2 linked regions of the Saccharomyces cerevisiae S288C genome follow. The gene in region 1 interacts genetically with each later gene. Each region holds a gene or a part of one and is shown on either strand. Other genes may lie near its edges. The genes, in order: ROY1 and INP52.

Region 1 (4,073 bases):
ATGCTTTTTTTTGATCAACTCAGTTGAGTAATATCGTACTTTAAAGAAAACAGTGTGCATAACCTTGTTTGATTCTCTGTGAAGTAATCTCTTTATACCACTGGAGGATATAAATCTCCGTTGTAACATTAAGTTCTCGTAAGCAATTGTTTAAATTTAATAGGTAGTGATAAAAAATTTGACGATATCAAAGTTGTGGTGTAATTAATAGAATACATGAAAAGTTATGATCAACATAAAAATGCTCTATACCAGATAGAATTTTATAAAAAAGGAAGAGAATAAAACGATAATAAAAGGAAAGACAGGTTAAACGATTGGAATGGGGTCTTCAAGTTACAAATCTAGAGGAAAGTGTAGACCTAGTGCAGCAATTGTAAATTTTGAACCTTTCTGTGGGGGGAGGGGTTTCTCAAAGTATCAGATAGTATTATGCACGGTAAATAAAGCCTAACAACAAGAAGTCCAAACAATAAATAACAACCGTTTCTGATCCTTGGATCGTATACAGAAGCTTGTTCATTTCAGTTTTTTCATTGTCTCTTCCTTCGGTATGCCTACCTTTCTGAAATATATGGTTATTATTCGAAGAACTCGTAAGGTCCGGGTAATAATTATGAAATGCAATAGTAAAATATAATTATTACTCAACTGGCTGTATATATACGAACTCCTTCAACAAATGTACATAAGAAATGTTTATCACAACTATCAAGTTTAATCATAAATAGTTTCATAAGTGTGTAATTCTGGGCTCACGCTAAAGTATATTCCTGACAACATAGTTTGGCGAAGGTTTGGCAATATCTTTATCAAGTAGTTCATGTAAGGATAAAAAAAATGCGATATAATAGTGGCTAAGGGCTCAAATGAGGATTCGTCAAAATAACATTCATAACTTGCAAAGTGATGAATTCTCTCAAAGCCATGGAAATTCCACGTCGTATCCTCAGGGGCATACTGTAGTAAATCCAAATCCCAGTTCTTCTGAGGATCAAACCTCTTAGCTAGAGATTTTCCAGTATATGCTGCAAACACTATCGGTATAATATCCAAGTATCTTGCATCCGGGGTCGAAAAGTATTGATGATTCATGATGTACTTATCAAATAATGGTAAGTATTTGGAGCAGAACGCACATTTGCAGCCGTTCCACAAAAGGTCACACGCATACATTTCATATGAGGTGATGGACTGCAATACAGTTGGAGCTATTATTGTTTCCAACGAAGTTAGCTTTGGTAAAACCTTTTCATAAAGTTTTTTACGGCGAAGCAAGTTCCCATCAACAGTATCAATGCCCTTGCCATTTAAAGGTGGGTCATGTCGTATGCTTAACAAACGCAAATCTTTACTCACGTTTGGTAAATTTAAAATAAACTTATTAACGACCAAGTCCCATTTCTCGTCCATGTAATGGTACCCTTTTTTGGTGAATGTCTTTTCAATGAACCCCAGACTTGTTAAGGAAACAAGGTTTCCTGTTATATCTTGAAGAAAGTCATCATCACATTCACAGTCGTCCACCTCACAAGAAAATTCTAATTCAAGGGCTTTAAGATTGGATAAATTAACTACATCCTTAAACGCGCGTGAAGATAATCTCATAGAAGTAGCACTCCCATCACCTTGTTTGTGAACATGATTAAGCTTCAAACGGCGCAGATTCTTGAAGCGGAGGTTCAGGGAATCAAAGTATTCAAAGACCCTTAGGCTTGAGTACGCTTCGTCCTTTATTTCTAACTCTCCTCCATTAAGTTGCTTCATTAACATTACACCCACTTCAGGGATTATTACGTTTTGCAAATCCAACGATTCAGGTAATTGCCATTTTAAGCTTTTGAAGTTTTGCCATAATTTGATACCATCAAATCCAGTTTCGCCATATACTACTCTCTTCTTTAAACTTGACAGGCGATAATACTTTGCTGAACATAACTCAAACAAGGTAGGATCCTTGATGTCAAGACTTTCAATCACGTCCAAGTCAGTGATTTCATTGACCAATCTTTGTAACAGTTGCAATCCTTCTTCCCTGTTGTGAAACAAATCCTCGTCAATAGTCAGCTGTTTTATACATTTTAAATGCGATGTCTCCAACAACCTTTCAATTCTATCATATAAAAATATGTCATTCTTGTCACCGGTTTTCAGAACAGATCTATAACCACTTACATAAGTTTTTCCCCCGTCCAAAAACCATTTGTTTGTTCTTAAAACAGGATTCTTAGTTATGTGAATATTGCTATAAAGACGAGGGATTGCAATCATGTCATGCATTTTTTTGGATGTTAGACTTAGGCTTAATAAATCATTTTGATTAAGAAATAAGGAGGCATGCGAGAACACTATGAATATATCTTGATCTTGGAATGCCATTTGTCAGTATTACTTTTGTTATATCATGTGAGCACAACTGTCGTTTTCACAATAGTTCAAATTGACTAGAGAGTTAGTAAAGGGGTACAACTTGCTTTTGTAATAGGGCACACCTTTAATTTTCCATCCATGAACATTTTTCAACAAAAAAAGAGGTGGAAAAAATTCAAAAGAAAATGACAACGGTAAAGAAATTAAATCAAGTTCCATCATTGTATTTAGAATAGAAATCGACATGCTTTGTAATAGGTTCCACAATGAATCTCGTCACTAAATCCACAAGTAGGTTAGAGATGAATCAGATTATATGCAAAGTATATATCTGTACATATTCATTATTTATAATTGGGAATAACTGATAATTAGGGGATGAACAGAATGTTTAGTCAGAACATTGATAAAATTCTCATAATCAGAAGGAGAATAATGTTGAATCAGTTCCTTTAAAAGCGTTATTCTTGAAAATATTTCAGCATTAGAGCACCAGCCGAGTGGGGAATCTTTAAAATCCTCGGTGTTGAAGTGCTCCAATAGAGCACTTTTTAGGTGATGTATCTGGTCTTTGTAACACTTTGAGATATCCCTTCCAGTCAATTTTATCATATTTAATATATGCATTGCCTTTTGTAGTTCGTTGATGAACTGGTTATCCTTTTCTATAGTAAATAGACAATTCTTCGCCGATTCTTCGGCAGCAAACATATCATATTCATTTAGATATTGAAACAACTGTAAACACAACTCTTCTACCACCTCAGAACTTGTGAATACGTCAACAAACTTTTTTGTGAATATAAGAGCGGTCACACTGGTGTTCCTGTTATATTCCCAGTCTGCAGTTTGAATAAAGTTCTTATTCAAATAAAAAGAAGCCTTTTCTCTTATTTCAGAATCATCGTCCCATAAGAAGTTGTACAGTTGTAATAGTATTCTGGAGTTCTTACAACTTTCTGGATAAGCAGTTAAACATTCTAAAGATGCCAATCTAAAATCTTTTGAACAAGAATCGGCGAAAAATCCTTGTAACAAGTTCCATACCTGGTGAAAGGTTTGCGAAGACAATTTAGCACTTAGTGATGAAACGGCAGCAAGTTTTGTATCTTCACTATTATTTGTTTTTAGGAGATCAGTGCAGGTCGTCAGGGATAAAGTATTCTTTTTTCTTGAGAGAATTTTCACTACTAAAGCTTTAGCCATAGGCAGCAAATCTGGAACCCTGAGTAATAATTGTAGTTGTTCAAGAAATTCTGAGTTTCTTGTAGTTTCCCAGTGAAAGTTAGTATTCATGTACTGTAGTGTACTGAGCTGAGCCTCATAAAATGGAGAATACAATCCTAATAAGCAAATATCATCGAGATATATACTATCCTCATATTTTAAGAGCATGTCTAAGATTTGTGCAAGATATAGCTGTTTGCTACCATCCACAACATATTCGTTATTTTCAGCAATAAATGTGTTCCGCAAAGTGCTGATATAATCTTTTAAAATAGAATCAGGTATGTCGCATGTTTCCAATATACAGCAGGTCAATTTTAAGTAGGCCTTTTTAGTGATAAAGCACTTGTTCTCTAGTAGAAGCATCCTTTTCTTTTCAAGTATCCTTTGAATCAACTCCATATCTCTAGTTCCTGAAAGGTATTGTGGTACTAGTTGTTGGAGTGCTAGTAAGTGTCCATGTAACTGGTTTTGCT
Region 2 (6,357 bases), on another chromosome or scaffold:
GAAGTTTACTGTAGACTTTTTCCTTACAAAAAGACAAGGAACAATCATGGTTAAAGAGAGTATTATTGCTCTTGCTGAGCATGCGGCCTCCAGAGCCTCAAGAGTTATTCCTCCAGTGAAGCTAGCCTATAAAAATATGCTTAAGGACCCTTCCTCCAAGTACAAGCCATTTAACGCTCCAAAGCTATCTAATAGAAAGTGGCCGGATAACCGGATCACGAGGGCTCCTCGTTGGTTATCAACAGATTTGAGAGATGGTAACCAATCTCTGCCGGATCCCATGTCAGTGGAACAAAAGAAAGAATACTTTCACAAGCTGGTCAATATTGGGTTCAAAGAAATCGAGGTTTCCTTCCCCTCTGCATCTCAAACAGATTTCGACTTCACTAGATATGCTGTAGAAAACGCCCCAGACGATGTTAGTATTCAATGTCTTGTCCAATCTAGAGAACACTTGATTAAGAGAACGGTGGAAGCATTAACAGGTGCTAAAAAGGCTACTATACATACTTACTTGGCAACAAGTGATATGTTCCGTGAAATTGTTTTTAATATGTCTAGAGAGGAAGCTATTTCCAAGGCAGTAGAGGCCACCAAACTAGTTAGGAAACTAACTAAGGATGACCCTTCCCAACAAGCCACTCGTTGGTCCTATGAGTTTTCCCCCGAATGTTTCAGTGATACTCCAGGTGAATTTGCTGTAGAAATTTGCGAAGCTGTTAAGAAGGCTTGGGAACCTACCGAGGAAAATCCAATCATTTTCAACTTACCTGCTACCGTAGAAGTTGCCTCTCCAAATGTTTATGCTGATCAGATTGAATACTTCGCTACCCATATTACTGAGCGTGAGAAGGTTTGCATCTCTACACATTGTCACAATGACCGTGGTTGCGGTGTCGCCGCCACAGAGTTAGGTATGCTTGCAGGTGCCGACCGTGTAGAAGGATGTCTCTTTGGTAATGGTGAACGTACAGGTAATGTGGACTTGGTTACTGTTGCTATGAATATGTATACCCAAGGTGTTTCTCCTAATTTGGATTTCTCTGACTTGACCTCTGTCCTAGATGTGGTTGAGCGTTGTAATAAGATCCCAGTATCGCAAAGAGCACCATACGGCGGTGACTTGGTCGTTTGTGCCTTTTCCGGTTCTCACCAAGACGCCATTAAGAAGGGTTTCAACTTACAAAACAAGAAGCGTGCTCAAGGTGAAACTCAATGGAGAATCCCATACTTGCCATTGGATCCAAAGGACATTGGCCGTGATTACGAAGCTGTCATCAGAGTCAACTCTCAGTCTGGTAAAGGTGGTGCCGCTTGGGTTATTTTGAGATCTTTGGGTTTGGATCTACCAAGAAACATGCAAATCGAATTTTCTAGCGCCGTTCAAGACCATGCTGACTCCTTGGGTAGAGAACTAAAATCAGATGAGATTTCCAAGTTATTCAAAGAGGCTTACAACTACAATGACGAACAGTACCAAGCTATTAGTTTAGTCAATTATAATGTTGAAAAATTCGGCACTGAACGTAGAGTGTTCACTGGTCAAGTCAAAGTAGGCGACCAGATCGTCGATATTGAAGGTACAGGTAATGGTCCAATCTCTTCTTTGGTCGACGCCCTATCAAACTTGTTGAACGTGAGATTTGCCGTAGCAAACTACACAGAGCATTCTCTAGGTTCTGGTTCTTCTACGCAAGCTGCTTCTTACATCCATCTATCGTATAGGCGTAATGCCGACAACGAAAAGGCCTACAAATGGGGTGTAGGTGTCTCCGAAGATGTCGGTGATTCTTCAGTGAGAGCCATCTTTGCCACCATTAACAATATTATCCATTCTGGTGATGTGTCCATTCCATCTTTGGCCGAGGTCGAAGGTAAGAATGCTGCGGCATCTGGCTCTGCATAAGAACTTTTCTGTATTTCAGGACTTATTCGCTTCTATTTATTTCTATACTTATTTATTTACTTCCTTTCCTTTTTTTTTAACCATATAATTACTAGAAGCACGGATGTCTAAATTAGAATTACGTTTTAATATCTTTTTTTCCATATCTAGGGCTAGTGCTTGTTTTTCTTTTTTTAGTATATTCTTGAACCAAATACGTGTGGGGTGACCCGAAACTTGTTTGGCGGTTAGTGACGAAATTGAAACAAACCTGGAGTTATTAAGAGAGATTTAACTGGAAAACTAGGCATAAAGGACAATAAGTACTCGCTTCATATAGTCTCAACATATTTTTGTTCGCAGAATTGGTGACAAAGGCCACGCAAAGGCAGCAGAATCAAAAACAAATACTCAGTAGCTATGAAAATACTCCTATCGAAACAGCAAACTAGAAAGATAGCAATAGTTTCAGAAACACATGGACTGGTATTTAGGCCAATAAACAGTAAGAACTCTCGCAGATCTACATGTGCCGTGGAATTGGTTCCGAAAGCTGAATTAAATGGTAATGGTTTCAGAAGACTATCTAACCATGAAATATACGGTTTTATTGGTCTCATAGAAATTGAAGGCCTTATGTTCATAGCAACCATAACAGGTAAATCTAAGGTGGCCCAGCCGATCCCAAACAAAACGGTTAACAAAATATATGCTGTGGATTTTTTTTGCTTAAATAATTCTAAATGGGATTTCATGGACATCGATTCATCCGGTTATCCGATTGTTACTAATGATGGAGATTTTGCAATAAGCTCGCCTCCTAGTATTTCCACACATTCTTCTAGATCATCGCTACGTTCTTCTTCCTCTAGGAGTTTGAATGCTCAAGAACAAGCTCCCAAGCATCCATGTCATGAACTAAGAAAGCTATTATCAAATGGATCTTTTTATTACAGCACCGATTTTGATTTAACTTGTACATTGCAGAAACGTGGATTCACGGAACACTCTTTGAGTTTTGATGATTTTGACCGGGAGTTTATGTGGAACTCGTTTCTTATGGACGAAATCATCACATACAGAGACAGACTAGATGTAACGGCCAAAGAACTATTGGATCAACGAGGATTCCTCACGACCGTAATCCGAGGGTTTGCTGAAACAATTTTTAGCTATATTAATAGGTTGAAAGTAGGACTTACCATTATTTCCAGGCAAAGTTGGAAAAGAGCAGGCACAAGGTTTAATGCACGTGGTATAGATGATGATGGCCATGTCGCAAATTTTGTTGAAACAGAAATGATTATGTACTCTTCTCAGTATTGTTATGCTTTCACGCAGATAAGAGGAAGCCTTCCAATTTTTTGGGAGCAGGATACATCTTTGATTAGTCCAAAGATTCAAATTACCAGATCTGTTGAAGCAACACAGCCCACGTTTGATGAACATTTTATAAGACTATTTAAGAAGTATGGGCCAGTTCATATAATCAACCTGCTGTCTACTAAATCTTCAGAAATTCAATTATCGAGGCGATACAAGGAACAGTTGAAAAATTCTGAGAAAATGAAAATCGGTAGAGATGTGTTCCTAACAAGCTTTGATTTCCATAGAGAAACTTCGCAAGATGGGTTTGCAGCTGCAAGTAGGATTATCCCTAAAATAAGAAACACAATTTTGGACGCCGGTTACTTTTCATACGATGTAAAAGAAGGGCGATTAATATCCGAACAAGACGGTGTCTTTAGAACCAATTGCTTGGATTGTTTAGATAGAACAAATTTGATCCAACAGACGATTTCACTGGCCGTTTTCAAACTATTTTTGGAAGACTTCCGATTGGTAAAACCCAGTAGTTTCATCGACGATAATGAATTTGTGCAAAAGGTGAATGCTTTATGGGCCGACAACGGAGATCAGATATCACAAATTTACACTGGGACAAATGCTCTGAAATCGTCCTATTCAAGGAAAGGTAAAATGTCTTTTTCTGGCGCCCTTTCTGATGCGACGAAGTCCGTTAGTAGAATGTACATCAACAATTTTGTAGATAAAGGAAAACAGCAAAATATTGACACACTTTTGGGCAAACTACCGCACCAGCAAGTTGTTGAACTTTATGATCCAATCTGCGAATACGTCAATGAAAGGCTGTTAGAGTCAGAGGAAAAATTCACCACTCATTCTAACATAAATTTGTTTGTCGGTACATTCAATGTTAACGGAAACTCTCGAAGAGCAGATTTGTCAAAATGGTTATTTCCAATCGGCGATAAATTCAAACCTGATGTCGTTGTGTTAGGGTTGCAGGAAGTTATAGAGTTGACCGCAGGGTCTATCTTGAATGCAGATTATACGAAAAGTTCTTTTTGGGAAACTATGGTTACTGACTGTTTGAATCAATACGAAGAAAAATATCTTTTACTTAGAGTGGAACAGATGTCCTCTCTTTTGATACTATTTTTTGCAAGATCAGATAGAGCCTATAACATAAAAGAGGTAGGTGGGTCTACCAAAAAGACTGGGTTTGGTGGTATTACTGGAAACAAAGGTGCAGTAGCCATTAGATTCGATTATGGGGCAACTTCATTCTGTTTCGTTAATACACATTTATCAGCAGGTGCGAGTAACATTGACGAACGTCGCAATGACTACAACAATATCTACAGGAACATAACCTTTCCAAGATCAAAGACAATTCCACACCATGATTCGTTGTTTTGGTTGGGTGACCTTAACTACAGGATAACTTTGACAAATGATGAAGTTAGAAGAGAATTAAGGGCTCAAAAGGATGGCTATATTGATAGATTGCTTCAATATGATCAGTTGACTCAAGAAATAAATGAAGGAGTGGTATTTCAGGGCTTTAAAGAACCGACCCTCCAATTCCGTCCGACCTATAAATATGATTATGGCACAGATAATTATGATACTTCTGAAAAGGCGAGAACTCCGTCTTGGACTGATAGAATCATATATAAAGGTGAAAACCTGCATCCATTGGCATATTCGGACGCACCTTTAAAAATAAGCGATCATAAACCAGTTTATGCTGCATATAGGGCAAATGTGAAATTTGTTGACGAAAAAGAGAAGCTTAACCTAGTTGAGAAGCTGTATGCAGAATATAAGAATACGCATCCCGAAGCACTAACTACAGGTCCTGACGAACTTTCTCATGCAAGAATGGAAAAACAAAAGGAAAGTATACCCTTAGATGCAACCGTTCAATCAGCGGGCATAAAACTAATTGACCTAGATGATACTTCCTCGTGCGTTTCGCCTCTACTTTCTGGTCCCAGTCCCCAACCGTCTGTTGTTGGCCCTGGAGGACTCAGTAACGTATCACCCGATAAAAGTAAGCTCAATGTGCTTCCTCCGCCTCCTCCTACCTCGAGGCACAATAAGGAACCATCTTCTAAACTTCTTTCCCCTACCAAAGAGATTTCCATTGTCAGCGTATCGCCGCGTAAAGGTGAGAGCAATCTTCCTGCCTTAGAGAGACACAGTACACCCAAACCACTGCCGCCAGTGCCCGCTTTATCTTTATCTAAGCCAGTCTCTTTACAGAAAAGTTCTTCAGAATTACAGCATGCTAAAGAGACCATAGATAATGGGAAAATTGTTCCTCGACCTTGTCCTCCTATTAGAAGGAAGAGCAGTACTGCCCCGGACGAAATCTCTACATCTACCAAAAATTCAGGTGTGTCCACTACAGAAGATCCTGAGCCAGCAAAGGCCTCCACAAAACCTGAGAAGCCACCAGTTGTCAAAAAACCGCATTATTTAAGTGTTGCTGCTAACAAGCTTAACACCTCTCAAGAACACTCAATAAAAGTTTCCCCGTCGAATTCAAAATCTGAAGAGGAACTCCCTTGCAAGAAAAAGTCTAAACCAAAAGTTCCTGCGAAGAACCCTGAACTAGAGAAGCTAAGCGTTCATCCATTGAAGCCTTGCGACCCCAATTAAATTGTGTTACTAAAATTACGCATTTATAGAATATGTATCATAACTGTTGTTTAGATGTTTATATGACTCTGCACACATTTCGGTTTTGTGAGCGCCGACCTTTCAAACCATGATCTGTATTACTATGGCTGTTATGAAAATACCGTTGTTCCGGGTGCAGTGATCCTAACTTCCGTTAATGGCTTCTTGTTTTACCAAGTTTTCCAGTTTCTGCTTCAATTCGTCAATTTCCTTGTCAACCTTTTCTATGCCGATCTCTATTCTGTCAATTTCTTCCTGTTCTAATTGCTTGGAGTATACACAATCATCAGTTTTGTTTGAAGGTAACAAATTTCCTGGTCGGCTCATTAAAATTTTGAAAAACTCTTCATTTGGCTCATTGAATACAATTTCATCAAAATACACAGAACTAACTTCTGCATCTTTACTATTATGGTCTGTTGTATTCTGCTCATTTCCATTGTCGGAATTCGGTACAGGATTAGCATAAGGATGAAGTC

What was found.
Region 2: of ROY1 (region 1) and INP52, extra expression of one rescues a mutant of the other (dosage rescue), as found in Saccharomyces cerevisiae (one study listed by BioGRID).

The regions. Positions count from the first base shown.
Region 1 is NC_001145.3:781,903-785,975, forward strand, and holds ROY1 (Roy1p), read right to left. Parts: upstream 2,380-4,073; coding exon 718-2,379; downstream 1-717. Other genes in the region: PET111 (Pet111p), read right to left, coding at 1-129; tRNA methylation protein TRM732, read right to left, coding at 2,719-4,073. UniProt on the Saccharomyces cerevisiae protein: Non-SCF-type F-box protein involved in the endocytic with the vacuolar sorting pathway. Acts as a repressor of YPT52 by inhibiting the formation of active, GTP-bound, YPT52. Involved in the defense mechanism against methylmercury toxicity.
Region 2 is NC_001146.8:420,444-426,800, reverse strand, and holds INP52 (phosphatidylinositol-3-/phosphoinositide 5-phosphatase INP52), read left to right. Parts: upstream 1-2,305; coding exon 2,306-5,857; downstream 5,858-6,357. Other genes in the region: 2-isopropylmalate synthase LEU4, read left to right, coding at 47-1,906; YEATS domain-containing protein YAF9, read right to left, coding at 6,023-6,357. UniProt on the Saccharomyces cerevisiae protein: Dephosphorylates a number of phosphatidylinositols (PIs) like phosphatidylinositol 4,5-bisphosphate (PtdIns(4,5)P2), but also phosphatidylinositol 3-phosphate (PtdIns(3)P), phosphatidylinositol 4-phosphate (PtdIns(4)P), and phosphatidylinositol 3,5-bisphosphate (PtdIns(3,5)P2).